Macaca mulatta: one gene and its partners. The protein of the gene in region 1 purifies or fractionates together with the protein of each later gene. This does not show direct contact. Links are inferred from orthologs where the notes say so. Each region holds a gene or a part of one and is shown on either strand. Other genes may lie near its edges.

The links.
Region 2: the proteins of PPP2R1A (region 1) and PPP2R3C purify together in Homo sapiens (co-immunoprecipitation; 3 studies listed by BioGRID and IntAct, with this or other methods). This does not show direct contact. The link is inferred for Macaca mulatta from reciprocal best matches to the Homo sapiens genes PPP2R1A and PPP2R3C.
Region 3: the proteins of PPP2R1A (region 1) and INTS4 purify together in Homo sapiens (affinity purification with mass spectrometry; 3 studies listed by BioGRID and IntAct, with this or other methods). This does not show direct contact. The link is inferred for Macaca mulatta from reciprocal best matches to the Homo sapiens genes PPP2R1A and INTS4.

The regions. Positions count from the first base shown.
Region 1 is NC_133424.1:64,384,088-64,389,675, reverse strand, and holds the start of PPP2R1A (serine/threonine-protein phosphatase 2A 65 kDa regulatory subunit A alpha isoform), read right to left. Parts: upstream 3,839-5,588; 5' UTR 3,764-3,838; coding exon 3,686-3,763; intron 3,674-3,685; exon of another isoform or gene 1,573-3,673; intron 1-1,572. UniProt on the Homo sapiens protein: The PR65 subunit of protein phosphatase 2A serves as a scaffolding molecule to coordinate the assembly of the catalytic subunit and a variable regulatory B subunit.
Region 2 is NC_133412.1:108,204,466-108,209,196, forward strand, and holds the end of PPP2R3C (serine/threonine-protein phosphatase 2A regulatory subunit B'' subunit gamma), read right to left. Parts: intron 3,727-4,731; coding exon 3,667-3,726; intron 1,481-3,666; coding exon 1,292-1,480; 3' UTR 1,175-1,291; downstream 1-1,174. UniProt on the Homo sapiens protein: May regulate MCM3AP phosphorylation through phosphatase recruitment. May act as a negative regulator of ABCB1 expression and function through the dephosphorylation of ABCB1 by TFPI2/PPP2R3C complex.
Region 3 is NC_133419.1:78,376,242-78,381,353, reverse strand, and holds part of INTS4 (integrator complex subunit 4), read left to right. Parts: intron 1-977; coding exon 978-1,066; intron 1,067-2,221; exon of another isoform or gene 2,222-2,390; intron 2,391-3,718; coding exon 3,719-3,839; intron 3,840-4,599; exon of another isoform or gene 4,600-5,112. UniProt on the Homo sapiens protein: Component of the integrator complex, a multiprotein complex that terminates RNA polymerase II (Pol II) transcription in the promoter-proximal region of genes.

The DNA.
Region 1 (5,588 bases):
GACAACAGAGTGAGACTCTGTCTCAAAAAAATATATATATATAATATAACCAAAGTGTTAGAATTTGGCTTGAGCCACTATGCCCAGCAATTTTTCTTCTTAGCAATTACTGCCACTGACATCCCATTACAGATCTACTGTCTTCCATATCAGAATGTAAACCCCGGAAGGGCAGCTTTATTCCCTACTGTACGTCTAGTATCTAAAATAGAGTCTGGCACATAGGAGGTGTTGATAAATATTTGCCGAATAAATAAATCAAGACTATAGGATTTCATATCCTGTGTTCCTTCTAGTATCCTGAACTATCTCAGACACAACTAAAATATCTGGCATATGAATATAATCAGCAACCGTGTGTCCCACCCCAGACTCTATTCCACCCTTAGGTCCTACTTCCTTTCCTGACTCCTCCACTTCTCAGCTACACAGCTTTGGCCACGTTATTTATGGTGCTTCAGTTTCCTCATCTGGAAAGTGTGGACAAGGACAGGACCTACTTCAAAGAGTGATTATGAGAATTCAATAAGATTGTCAGTGTTATTCCTCTGCACTGTACCTAGCATTGAGCAAGCACCCAGTAATTTGTTATTCAGATGGTTTAAGTCAGAGGTTGGCAATTTTTTCCCTGCAACGGGCTAGAAAGCAAATATTTTAAGCTTTGAGGGCCAGACCATCTCTGTTACAACTACGCAACTCTGGGCTGTAGCACAAAAGTAGTCCATAGGAGCTTCCAGACAGATGAACACCTAGTGGCTCCTAGAAGGTGGAATGCCCAGGGAGGACATGGAAGCACCACACATCTTCCCCCAAACCTCACCCCATGTGTGTCTTCATCTGTATCCTTTGTAATATCCTTTAGAATAAACCGGTAAGCTGCCTAGCTCTGATCCTGGCACAAAAACAACTCCCTACAAATGTTTGCTGGTTAGTGGATGGATGGATGGATGGAAGGATGGAATGATAGACAGCTGAAGGAAGTGATCCTGGAGTTAAAAAAAAACAAACTGGCTGGGCACAGTGGCTCACACCTGTAATTCCAGCACTGTGGGAGGCTGAGGCAGGAGGATCACCTGAGATCAGGAGTCTGAGACCAGCCTGGCCAACACGGGGAAACCCAGTCTCTTCTAAAAACACACACCCAAAAATTAGCCAGGGGTGGTGGCCTGGGCCTGTAGTCCCAGCTACTCAGGAGACTGAGGTGGGAGAATTGCTTGAACCCGGGAGACAGAGGTTGCAGTGAGCCGAGATCACGTCAGTGCACTCCAGCCTGGGCAACAGAGTGAGACTCCATCTCAAAAAACAAAACAAAACAACAACAACAAAAAACTATGGCCATATCTGTTCCCTCTTCCTGGGCAGCTCTTTCCCACCTTCTTTCCATCTCTTCTTAAATTCTGCATCCTCAGAGGGGCCTTGCCTGATTGGCCTACTTAAAATGGATCTGCCCCACCCCACTTTGTACTTGCTGTGCCCTCTGCCTTTAGGTGTGTTCTCAAACTTGATCTCAACAAGGCCTCCCCTCACCACACTTTAAAACTGCATCCCCCAGGCCGGGCACAGTGGGATTACATGCCTGTAATCCCAGCACTTTGGGAGGTCAAGGTGGGTGGATTACCTGAGGTCGGGAATTTGAGACCAGCCTGACCAACACGGAGAAACCCCATCTCTACTAAAAATACAAAATTAGTTGGGAGTGGTGGCACATGCCTGTAATCCCAGCTACTTGGGAGGCCGAGGCAGGAGAATCGTTTGAACCCGGGAGGCAGAGGTTGCAGTGAGACAAGATCACGCCACTGCACTCCAGCCTGGGCAACAAGAGTGAAACTCCGTCTCAAAAACAAACAAAAAAAACCCCTGCATCCCCCATCTCTCTTATTTTTATTTATCTCCCTACTGCTTATCTCCAGTATACTCTGTTTATTATCTCTCCTCACTGCAAAGTAAACTCCCCTACTGCATGCCAGTGCTTATAACAGTGACCTGCACAGAATAGAAGGCCAATTCAATATGGATTCACTGCCACAACATCCTGTTTGTTTCCTTCCCATCACTTTTCACACACTCTGTTGACCTGTTTCACACCTGAATCCTGTATAGCAACTGGTGTCTCCACTATATCCCCAGCATCATACCTGATACATGGCACGTGTTTACTGAACAAAAGAATTCATACAACTGCCCTACGAACTAGGTAATTATCCCCATAAAAGAGAAGAGGAAATAGGCTTAGAGAGATTAACTAACTTGCGCATGTCAATCAGTGAGAAGTGGAAGGGCCAGGAATACAACCACAGCCGGTCTGCCCCCAGAAACAGTGATATACCAGGAACCTAGGAGGCGGGACCCACGTTTGGCAGGTTACCCAGTGCACCTTGTTCAATTTTATAAATGCGAAAACTGAGACCTAAAGGGAGGATAGGACCTCTTTAATCACCACTCCCAATAATCACAGTTAATATGTATCAGGCCCTTACAACAGGTCTGACACCATTCGACTTTTTATTTGTGCCATAATTCGTTCAGTCCCTCACAAGTCCCTCCAGCAAGACCAGGACTACAATTAGCCCATATTTTATGGAACACGGAGGCCCAAAGCGGTGAAGTAATTTGCACAAGGTCACACAGCGGGTGGCAGCCCTGCTCAGAGCCTTGGGCCACCGCATCCCATAACCAGGAATGTTCATCCGGGCTGGGCGCCGTGGCTCACGCCTGTAATTCCAACACTTTGGGAGGCCGAGGCGGGTGGATCGCTTGAGGTCAGGAGTTCCAGACCAAGCCTGGCCAACATGGCGAAACCCGTCTCTACTAAAAACACAAAAATTAGATGGGCATGGTGGCTCGCGCCGGTAATCTGAGCTACTTAGGGGGCTGAGATGCGAGGATCGTTTGAACCCGGGACGCAGAGGTTGCACTGAGCCAAGATCGCGCCACTGCACCCCAGCCTGGGCGACACAGGGGCTGTCTCAAAGAAAGAAAGAATGAAATGTTCATCCACTTAGCAAATCCTTCACCCCCTATCCTGATCAATGGGAGGATCTGGGGAGATGGGGAAGCGGGTTTCTACAACGTAATTCGTTCTTCAATTTGGCTAGTCCCCACCTTTGGTGGGGGGGGGGGTGTTTTTGCGTCCCCGTCCTCTCAGGACACCTAAACCAAAATGAGACGTGGAGAAAGAGCAGGAATTGGGATGGCAGGCCTTCGCCTCTCGGTCCCCACTTGGGCCAGCAGTCGAAACCCAGAAAAGAAAAAAACCTTCCCAGGTCCTGACCCATCAGGCGGCTCTCCCCCACTCGGAGCAAGTCACGAGCGCCCCACATCTCCAAGGGGCCATTCAGAGGCCGCCGCCAATCACGGAGCCCTCCTCTCTCCCGGACCCAGTCCGCCGACCCCAGCCCTGGCCGCAACCTCCCAGGACCGCGGATCGCGGACCGCGGACCGCCGCGCGCACTGAGCAGGCCCGGGACCCTCGAGGCTAGCGCAGGCCCCCGCCCTTCACTGGGCCAACACCCAATCGAGGGCGCCGTCTCAATGAGTCCGGGCACCCGGGGAGATAAGAGACGCACGTTGATTGGCCGCCGCCCCTTCCGCCACTCCCAGCGAACGCTGAGTCTTCTCCGCGAGGGCTGCCCATGCCCCCAGGTACCCCTCCCCGTCTTCCCCAAGTCCCCCGTAGCCTCCGTACCTGAACGTCCTCGTTGCGGAGTTCGTCTATGAGCACAGCGATGGGGTACAGCGAGTCGTCGCCGTCGGCCGCCGCCATCTTGGCTCTGTCCCGTTCCTGTCAGACTGCGGCCAGCGCTCTGCTGAAACGGGGGGGCAGAGCTGGGAGGAGGAGGAAAAGCACGCGTGGGGGCGCCCGAACCAGTTTACAGGGGCTGCTCCACGGCCATTGGCCGCGCTACGCCGGCCTAAACCCGCGTTTCTTTGGTCCGGACTAGTGAAGTCCCGCCCACTTCCCATTTGCCATTGGTCGAGTGAACGAGATTTGACTAGTTTGAGCCTAGGGGAGGGGGAAGAAAAGCGGAAGTCAGCCGTGTCCTAGCGACCAAGATTGAACCCGCCTTCGTCGCTGCTAACAACGACCGGGACGAGCAGTTGTTTCTAGCCAATGAGGGGCGATATGGGGAGGACGCTAAGCCTGACCTTTGGTGGGTCCCGGGGATGGTTTCTGCGCGTGCGTAAGTGGTAATACGTGACGTCATGTGGGGAGCGGGAGGGTGTGCAGGTTTTGGGTTACCAGGCCATGGTTCCGCTGGCTGGCAGGCTGGCTCCCCGCGCCTTTGCGCGGCCGGAGGAGGGAGTGAGACTTTTATTTGTGTTTGATTTATGCCAAGGCCCAGAGAAGGGAGCGGCTTGCCCTGCTGTCTCTCTTTTTCTTTTTCTTTCTTTTTTTTTTTGCCTTTTTAAAGACAGGGTCTCGCTCTGTTCCCCATGCTGGAGTGCAGTGGCGCGATCTTGGCTCACTGCCGCCTGGACCTCCCCGGGCTCAAACGATCCTCAGGCCTCAGTCTGCAGAAATAGCTGGGATTATAGGCTCGCGCCGCTAGGCCCGGCCAGTTTTTTAAAGAATTTTTGTGGAGACGGAGTCACTGTGTTGAGCTCAGTTGCCTTGCTCTTTGGATGAAACCCAAGTTCCTCGGGCCGGTATTCAATACCTTGTCTAGGCGCGTCTCCCGCCTCCGTTTTTTACCTTTTGTCTGATGTCCTGGAAAATCAGAGCTGCCTGAGCACATCTTGCGTTTTCGTGCCAGCAAGCCTCCTTGCCCAAGCTGTACGTTCTGCCTTTCTTATTCACTTCTCAGATCTCTGCGTAAATGCTCTTGTTCTCTAGGCTTCCAGAGCCACCAGAACCTCTCTCTCTGTCTCTCCAATCCCATCTATGTGTCTCAATCCCAGAGCCTGGGCTGTGACTATGCATTCGAATCTGTTTCCTCCATAGAGTGGGAGCAGGATTGGATCTGACTAATCTCTGTTTTTAACCTCTTCAACAAAGCCCCACCCCCACCGCAATCTTAGGACCACTCTGAGGGAGTTGGATGGGGATGGTAAGGCCTGGGATGCTCTCTCTTCCTTTATTCTACTACTTGAAGTGCTGGGCTGAGCTAGCACTCTGGCAGCTCTGAATACCCACAGCATCTATTTTTTCTTTCCTTCTTTCTTTTTCTTTCTTTCTTTTCTCCTTCTTCTTCTTCTTTTTTTTTTTTTTTTTTTTTTTTGAGACGGAGGCTCGCTCTGTCGCCCAGGCTAGAATGCAGTGGCCGGATCTTGGCACACTGCTGCCTCTGCCTCCCGTGTTCAAGCAATTCTCCTGCCACAAACTCCCGAGTACCTGGGATTACAGGCGCCCACCACAACGCCCGGCTAATTTTGGTATTTTTAGTAGAGACGGGATTTCACTACTTTGGGCCAGGCTGGTCTCAAACTCTGGACCTCAGGGTGATCTGCCTGCCTTGGCTTCCCAAAGTGCTGGGATTACAGGTGTGAGCAACCGTGCCTGGCCCAGCATCTATTTCAGATACCCTTACCCACTCCAGTTAGGAAACTACTGCTCATAAAAGTGGGGATGGGGGTTGAATATTTCAGTC
Region 2 (4,731 bases), on another chromosome or scaffold:
TCCTGCCTCAGCCTCCCGAGCAGCTGGGACTACAGGCGCCCACCACCATGCCCAGCTAATTTTTTGTATTTTTAGTAGAGACGGGGTTTCACCGTGTTATTCAGGATAGTCTCGATCTCCTGACCTCGTGGTCTGCCCACCTCGGCCTCCCAAAGTGTTGGGATTACAGGCATGAGCCACCGTGCCCGGCCGACAAATTTTTTATACCAATGATTTTCATGAAAGTAAAACACTAGTTTGAATACATTTTATTAAAACATCCAATTAAAAGAAAGAACAAGGCTGGGCATGGCTCACATATCATGGTGGCTATAATCTCAGCACTGTGGGAGGCTGAGGCGGGTGGATCACCTGAGGTCAGGAGTTCGAGACTAGCCTGGCCAACATGGCGAGACCCCATCTCTACTAAAAATACAAAAATTAGCCAGGCATGGTGGTGCACACCTGAAGTCCCAGCTACTCAGGAGACTGAGTCAGGAGAATTGCCTGAAGCTGGGAGGTGGAGGCTGCAGTGAGCAGAGATCATGCCACTGCACTCCAGCCTGGACAACAGAGGGAGACTGTCTCAAGGAAAAAAAAAACAAAAAACGAAAAACAAAAAGGCTGGGTGCCATGGCTCACATCTGTAATCCCAGCACTTTGGGAGGCCGAGGCCGAGGCAGGCAGATCAGTTCAGGTCAGGAGTTCGAGACCAGCCTGGCTAACATGGTGAAACCCTGGCTCTGCTAAAATACAAAAATGAGCCAGGTGTGTTGGCAGGCGCCTATAATCCCAGCTACTCAGGAGGCTGAGGCAGGAGAATCACTTGAACCCCCTAAAAAAAAAAAAATCCTAATCCTAACCCAGAAATAAAATGGCTCTACTCTAATGAATGGGAAAGTTTGTAATCTTTGAGATTTTATATATATACACATATATAAAATCTATGTGTGTGTATATATATACACTGTCAGTCAAATATTCACATTCTAAATGACTGTCAGAAATATTCCATGGAAACTTCATCTCTGAAGATTATACATGTTTAAACTGAACATCATCTATCTACAGCAAATCACACTTCCCATCTTTGAACTAAAAGGAACCAGAACTTACCCTACCTCCTAACAAGCAATATTTGGTCCTATTGCTTCTAAACTATTGCAACCAGAATTCCAGTAACCAAAACATTTGCTGTGTTCTCTAGGCATATCAAGTGTTTTATTTAGACCATTCTGAGGATTTTGCTTTAAAGGCTTTACATGCAGCATTCAAGTATCTCTTAATATAAGACAGTCTAGTCTTTCAGAGATCATGTATCATCAAGGTCTGTAGAGTTTTCACTGTCATTTGCAACAAGAGCTTCTCTGTTCTCATAAGTCCAGAAGCCATTCAAATCGATTAGAATGGTGGTTACTGTGTCTCCTTGATTACTGTTGATTAAATCCTGAAGAGAGATTTTCAAAGGATCCTTTGGTTTTACCATGTCAAAGATTTCATCCTGCAAGAGAAAAAAAATACAATGAAATTTGATCCACTTAATTTCTATCACACGTCGTGATCCAAAATTCAGGGCTGTCTGCATCCACTGAAGTATGGAGGAATAAAATTGAGGGCTGCCACTTGGGCTTATGTTAATTTTTTGTTCTACTTTTTTTCTTTTCCATTTAACAGGCAGTTTCCTTTTCTCTACCTACAATCACACAATTTTATTGGATAACTCCTTAGCTATGTGATAGCTGTCCTTCATTTTGTAGATGAAGAAACCAAGGCTCAGCATCTAATCCAGCTACATAGGTAATTAGTGGCAGAACTATTTAATGCAGTGTTCAGGGACTGCATGTTAACTAATTTCTTACATATTTTTCTATTGCCTTTCTAATTGGTGGTGAAACAAGGTTTTGTCTGTAGTTTTTGTTGTTTTGTTTTGTTTTTGAGATGGAGTCTCGCTCTGTCATCCAGGCTGGAGTGCAGTAGAGCAATCTCGGCTTACTGCAACCTCCGCCTCCGGGGTTCAAGCAATTCTTCTGCCTCAGCCTCCCGAGTAGCTGGGACTAGAGGTGCACACCACCACACCCAGCTAATTTTTGTATTTTTAGTAGAGATGGGGTTTCACCATATTGGCCAGTCTGGTCTCAAGCTCCTGACCTTAAGTAATCTGCCCGCCTTGGCCTCCCAAAGTGCCGGAATTATACGCGTGAGCCACTGCACCCAGCCTTGTTTTTTTTTTTGAGACAGAGTTTCACTCTTGTTGCCCAGGCTGGAGTGCAATGGCGTGATCTCGGCTTACCGCAGCCTCTGCCTCCTGGGTTCAAGCGATTCTCCTGCCTCAGCCTCCCAAGTAGCTGGGATTACAGGCATACACCACCACATCCGGCCAATTTTTGTATTTTTAGTAGAGACGGGGTTTCTCCATACTGGTCAGGCTGTCCTCAAACTCCTGACCTCAGGTGATCCACCTGCTTTGGCCTTCCAAAGTGCTGGGATTACAGACGTAAGCCACCGTGCCCAGCCCCTTCTTTTTTTGTGTGAGATGGAGTGTCCCTCTGTCACCCAGGCTGGAGTGCAGTAGTGTGATTTTGGCTCACTGCAACCTTTGCCTCCCAGGTTCAAGCCATTCTCCTGCCTCGGCCTCCCGAGTAGCTGGGATTACAGCTGCGTACCACCACACTCGGCTAACAAGGGTTTGGTTTAATTTTTTTTGCTAATGGTTCAACTCAATTAAACATCTAAATGGTTCAGAGATAGTGACAAAGCTTCATTTCCAATATTGATGTCAACATTTTATTAGGATAGGAGAGGAGTTCTTTCTGGATATGCATTAGATATCCAAAAAGAAGCTAAATGCTGCTAAAACTTACTGGAACATATAGAAGACCTCCTTCTATATTATGAAGTGTACAACAGATATTTACAGGGAATTAGTACATGTTTTCTAATCTTTTTGTAGTAAAATTACTACAAAATTTGTAGTAAAATAAAATTTGTAGTAAAATTACTCAGGTGAACAGGCTCTTTGAGGTAGCATACTAAAAAAAAGTGCCTGAACCTAAACAGTTTCCAAGGTAAAAATTCAGTTTACAGTTGAATAGACTGCCGTAGGATGTAGACTGTACTGACTGTCTTAATTTTCTTTTTTTTTTTTTGAGTCGGAGTTTTACTCTTGTTGCCCAGGCTGGAGTGCAGTGGCGCGATCTCAGCTCACTGCAACCTCCACCTCCCGGGCTCAAACGATTCTCCTGCCTCAGCCTTCCGAGTAGCCAGGATTACATGCATGCACCACCACACCCAGCTAATTTTTGTATTTTTAGTAGAGACGGGATTTCACCGTGTTGACCAGGCTGGTCTTGAACTCCTGACCTCGGGTGATCCGCCCGCCTTGACCTCCCAAAGTGCTGGGATTACAAGCGTGAGCCACTGCGCCCGGCCCCCTGACTGTCTTAATTTTCAATTAAAATGAATGAATGCCTCCAATGAGAACATAGTGATGACAATACTAAAATTATAAACTATATAAATAGTCCAAATGTGGTCTCAGTTCGTAATGATTTAAATATCAGTTCAGAACAAAAAGCAAATACTTGATTCAAATAGTACTTCATTACTTGCTTTCATATAAAATTTCATGTAATACAAATGACTATCTCACAATTATCTGGTAATATGTAAATTAAAGGAAAAGATAACCTTGACATCTTGAAATGAAACAGGATCTTGTCCGTGGATTTTCATTAGTTCCTGTATGGCCTGTATTTGATAGAAATAAATCTAAGTAAAAAATGAAATACACAACATCCCCTCTCTTGCCCCACAACCCCTTTCTACTTATAGTTCCTTTCCTATCAGACCACAAACCTCATCATTCTCTTGACAATCTTTTTAGCTTTCTTGACCTTATTCCATATCAATGAGCAAAACCTAAATTCTCAGTGTATTGACCTTTTTAGACCTGTATCTTAACTACTGAGAACTTCAGGAAAAAAAATAAAAAGACTACAGATTGCTGCGTCTACATAGGAATGTTCTCCAACCTCAAATGGGCCCTCAACATGGCATCACAATTATTCTGTTTGATCTGCTCCTCTCATTTTCCACGAATGTTATTCCTGCCTTCACTATTAAGACCCCCAATCTACTGTCTCCCTTCCTACCCTACACTTTGCTTTCTATGTAATACAAGAAATGGAGGTAGACCTCCCAAAACTCTTCCTTTTTATAAACTTTAACAAAAAAATGAAAAAACAGCTGTCATCCAGTGGGACTACAAAATACTTCAGGTGAGCATTATTCAGTGGAAATGTGAAGTTTAAAATTCTTGGTGAATAGTCAACTAACTTTGTTCCTAATGCCTACTCCGTATGTGTTACCACTGATAATCAGAGTATCCATAAAGGAATCTCTTTGAAGTAGATAAGCATCTGAGTACATGCTATGTTAATATAGTAATAGGCTTGGATGGTATGATCTAGAGGGAATCATCCAGGCCCAGCTTTATCACTAGGATACTGATGTCCAAACGCTCTATGAATAGCCCAGGATTATAGGGCTCAGCACTGGACACTTTTTTTTTTTTTTGAGACGGAGTCTCGTTCTGTTGCCCAGCCTGGAGTGCAGTGGCCGGATCTCAGCTCACTGCAGGCTCCGCCTCCCAGATTTACGCCATTCTCCTGCCTCAGCCTCTCGAGTAGCTGGGATTGCAGGCACCCACTACCTCGCCCGGTTAGTTTTTTGTATTTTTTAGTAGAGACGGGG
Region 3 (5,112 bases), on another chromosome or scaffold:
CTGGTAACAGGCAATCTAAATTCATGTTCAGAGATTAGGTTTTGTTAGTCTGCCAAGAGTGGTTTTATCTCTCATGGGAAGAAGATAATTAGCCAAACCCCTATCACGGATGTGTAAACCAAGTTTATTTTTCTATTGAATGAAGTAGAATTGGTCCAGAATGCTTGTGGTGGGGTGACCATCGCCCTCTTTTTCTATAGGAAAACTATGCGGGAAGCCAAATAATTAAAGGAAACTTGGATAGTAAGGACTCAGAGGAAGGAAGGAACGTTAGTTGGCTGATTCAGATGTTTGGTGGCATAAGAGTAGTCTAAACAAGCAGTAATGAGAGCCTCAAGGGAGTGAGGATGGATTGATAGTGTAGGATTTAAGACATAAGGTAGAATTTGGTTCCTTAGTGAGTTCATATTTGGATGTGTGGAGTATAAAAGTTGGATGGGACATCCATGAAGAGAATTCCAGCCATAGGTAGTTATAAAGGTCTGGAGATCAGGAGAAATCAGAGCTAAGGGTAGGTTATTCAGAGCCATCAGTATTTAGGGAGTATGGGGCTACCCAGAAAGAGTGAGTGGATTGAAATGGAGGCCAATGATTTCAGACCAAAGTAAAGAGAAGTGTGTGCTTTGATTTTTACAGGTGGAGGGAAAAACCCATATTTGGTATTTGAGCCTGTGAAAATAGTACTGTGGGCTCCCAGCATGCTTTGCTGGGTTTGATGCTATTCTAAATGTTTTTATGCCGTCAGTCTGTGATTCTCCTTTCAGACTTGGGGTAGGAGGGTGCCTAGTCAGATTATAGCCAGAGCAGCTGACAGAGGTCAAGATTCATTGTTCGGCAAAGATTCAAGAAGTTAAAAACCACACACAAGTATTTTACTGGGCATCCTTATCCAACCACCCTATCTTCACTTTGAAAATAGTTTAAACATTGCCTGAGAGGACACAGAGCTAATAGACTTTTGGAATTCTTCTTTGCAGGCCTGTAAATTGCTCTCTGATGACTATGAACAAGTGCGCAGTGCTGCAGTCCAGCTTATCTGGGTTGTCAGTCAGCTCTATCCTGAAAGGTCAGTGTGGGTGTAAGCTGACTTTTGTTGATTGTGAAGCCATTTTCCTCTCCTCTCACCGTGCAGAAAGCCCACTTCTAGAAAAGAAATGTTGGTTAGATTTTTGGAAGGCAATGGGGAGTAAGGGGCTGAAAATCAGATTGCCTGGTCCTCATTTTTCATCTCTGATAGGAACTTTCTGTACACCCTTAGAAAGATACTTCACTTCTTTGGTCCTAACCTTGTCATCTATAAGTGAAGAAATTGGAATATCTTTCTTAAATGGTTTTCAGTACTTTACAAAAAAATCTTTAAAATTGTTTGGGACCCATTTTAGTTTGGTTTGTGCCAAATGCCAGATAAAGATACCAGATGAGTTTGAGAATAGTGATCTCTTATGTACTGTTTTCCTGGTTAAAAACATTTTCACAGCAATTAAATTATTATTTTCACAGTGCTTCTTTGAGGAGGTAGGCAATATTATTATATTGTATAAAATAGAATATTTTCTTTATATTTCTTTATATTTTATTTATAAATATTTATAGAATATTTTATTTTTCCTCGTATAGGAAAAAGAGGTGTTTTTTCCTCTTCATTAAACTGCCAAAATTTGAAAACCAGAATGAATTAATAAACCTGTAGGAGTAGGCTCCATTTGTAGTGTTTTAGGACTTAGACACATACAAAGAAAAGGGCTAACTGGAAATTGTCTCTTTTTTTAGGACTGGATTGACGAGTAAGTTTTATCTTGATTTATTCTGAGATTTACTGTATTTATAGAAGTTCAGTCAGGGCACGGTGGTGCCTGTAATCCCAGCACTTTGGAAGGCCGAGGTGAGTGGATCACCTGAGGTCAGGAGTTCGAGACCAGCCTGGCCAACATGGTGAAATCTCGTCTCTACTAAAAATAAAAATATTAGCCAAGCATGGTGGTACATGCCTGTAATCCCAACTACTAGGGAGGCTGAGGCAGGAGAATTGCTTGGACCCTGGACGTGGAGATTGCACTGAGCCGAGATCATACCACTGTACTCCAACCTGGGTGACAGAGCAAGACACTCTCTCTAAAAAAAAAAAAGAAGTTCAGTTATAGGAGATAATAAGCTTAAGGATATGAAATATTCGGTGGAAGCTAGTTTTTGATAATTTCATAAATCTTTGAACCTTTGGTGGGTTACATGTTTTCTTTTTTTTTTTTTTAAAGGCAGAGTCTTGCCCTGTGGCCCAGGCTGGAGTGCAGTGATGTAATCTCAACTTATTGCAACCTCCATCTCCTGGGTTGAAGCAGTTCTCGTGCCTGAGCCTCCCAAATAGCTGGAATTACAGGTGCACACCACCACACCTGGCTCATTTTTTGTATTTTTAGTAGAGATGAGGTTTTGTCATGTTGGCTAGGCTTGTCTCAAGCTCCTGGCTTCAGGTAATCTGCCTGCCTCAGTATCTCAATGTGCTGGGATTACAGGTGTGAACCACCACACCTGGCTGACCCTTTGGTGGGTTACACACTTTTATTCAGTATATTGAAAATTTGCACCTGGGTGCAGTGGCTCACCCCTGTAATCCCAGCACTTTGGGAGGCCGAGGCGGGTGGATTGCTTGATCTCAGGAGTTTGAGGTCAATCTGGGCAACATGGTGAACCATTTCTACTAAAAATGTACAAAATTAGCTGGGTGTGGTGGCATGCTTTTGTAGTCCCAGCTACTCAGGAGAGTAAACTGGGAGGACCACCTGGGAAGTTGACACTGTGGTGATCAGTGATCATGCCACTGCACTCCAGCCTGGGTGACAGAAGTGAGACCCTCTCTCAAAAAAAAAAAAAAAAAAAGCATAATTTGCAACGCAACTGAAAGAGTTGGTTTTTACTCCCAGCGTGATTTGTTTATTCTGAACTGTATTTAATCATTCTAGGATTTGAACTATTCAGTTATCATTTTCGTGTGTGTCAGTCTTCATTGACTGTTCTCAGTTTATTGAGCCTGCAGCCTTGCTTACTTATGTATTTATTTGTTTATTATTATTATTTTTTGCGATGGAGTCTCGCTCTGTTATCCAGTCTGGAGTGCAGTGGCACTATCTTGGATCACTGTAACCTCCACCTTCCAGGTTCAAGTGATTCTTCTGCCTCAGCCTCCTGAGTAGCTGGGATTACAGGCGTGTGTCACCACACCCGACTAATTTTTATATTTTTAGTAGAGAGGGGGTTTCGCCATGTTGGCCAGGCTGGTCTCGAACTCATGACCTCAAGTTATGCACCTGCCTCAGACTCCAAAAGTGCTGGGATTACAGGCATGAGCAACTGTGCCCAGACTGTATTTATTTTTTGAGACAGGGTCTTGCTCTGTCACCCAGGCTGGAGTGCCGTGGTGTAATCTCAGCTCACTTCTACTTTCACCTCCAGAGCTAAAGTTATCTTCCCACTTTAGCCTCCCAAGTAGCTGGGACTATTGGCGCATGCCACCATGCCTAGCTAATTTTTGTATTTTTTTTGTAGAGATGAGGTTTTGCCATGTTGCTCAGGCTGGTCTTAAACTCTTGGGCTCAAGCAATCTACCTGCATGGGCCTCCCAAAGTGCTGGATTATAGATGTGAGCCACTGTGCCTGGCCTGAGCCTGCAAACTTAGGATCATGTTTTGTTCTAAGTGATTTCATTTATTTTCTTTTAATTTAGCATTGTCCCAATTCCTTCTTCTAATGAAGAAATACGCTTAGTTGATGATGCGTTTGGAAAAATTTGTCACATGGTCAGTGATGGCTCTTGGGTGGTTCGTGTTCAGGCAGCAAAACTGTTGGTAAGTTATACTTTTTGTGTATGTATGTATGCATGTATGTATTTATTTATTTTCTTTTATGTAGAAATAGGGCCTTTGTGGCCCAGGTTGGTCTCAAACTCTTGGCCTCAAGCAATCCTCCTGCCTCAGCCTCCCAAAAGACTGGGCTTATAGGCCAGGTGTGGTGGCTTACACCTGTAATTCCAGCACTTTGGAAGGCCAAGGCGGGCAGATCATGAGGTCAGGAGATTGAGATCATCCTGACCAACATGGTGAAATCCCGTCCCCACTAAAAATGCAAAAATTAGCTGGGCATGGTGGTGCACTCCTGTAATCCCAGCTACTCGGGAGGCTGAGGCAGGAGAATCGCTTGAATCTGGGAGGCAGACGTTGCAGTGAGCCGAGATCACGCCACTGCACTCCAGCCTGGCGTCAAGGGGGAAGACTCTCGTCTCAAAAAAAAAAAAAAAAAAAAAAAAAAAAAAGACTGGGATTATAGATGTGAGCCATTACACCCGGTCAATAATCCTTTTTTTAAATGGACACATTGCTCGTTAAGTTTTTACAAACATTTTGAGAAACTACAGATGGGGCAGTGTGACCTGAATTTAAAACCCCAGAATTTCTTTTTCTTTTTCTTTTCTTGAGACAGGGTCTTACTCTGTTGCTCAGGCAGGAGTGCAGTGGTGCAGTCACGGCTCACTGCAGCTTTGACCTGCCAGGCTCAAGCGATCCCTCCACCTGAGCCTCCTGAGTAGCTGGGACTACAGGCATGTGCCACCCTGCCTGGCTAATTTTGTATTTTTTGTAGAGATGGGGTCTTCCTTTGTGCCCAGGCTGGTCTTGAATTCCTAGGCTCAAGTGATCCTTCTGCTTTGGCCTCCCAAATTGTTGGGATTACAGGTTTAAGCCACTATTCCCAGTCCCAGAATTTCTTAATATAGAAAGAAATAGTTCACTCTCCTGTAGAGAAATAGCCTTTTAGAACTAGAAAGAATCTTAAAACATAATTCTATTAACCCTATTAGGAACCGAGATAGCCAGAGCCTAGAGAAAAAGGAAAATAATTTAAAAAAAAGTTTTTCCCATTTATTAAGCACTTGTTATGTCCTAGTTCAGGAGGCTCAAACCCCTGGGCTGTGGACTAGTCCTGGTCCATGGCTTGTTAGGAACCAGGCCACACAGCAGGAGGTGAGTGGTGGGAGAGCAAGCATTACTGCCTGAGCTCTGCCTACTGTCAGATCAGCAGCTGCATTAGATTATCATAGGGGTGTGAACCCTATTGTGAACTGAG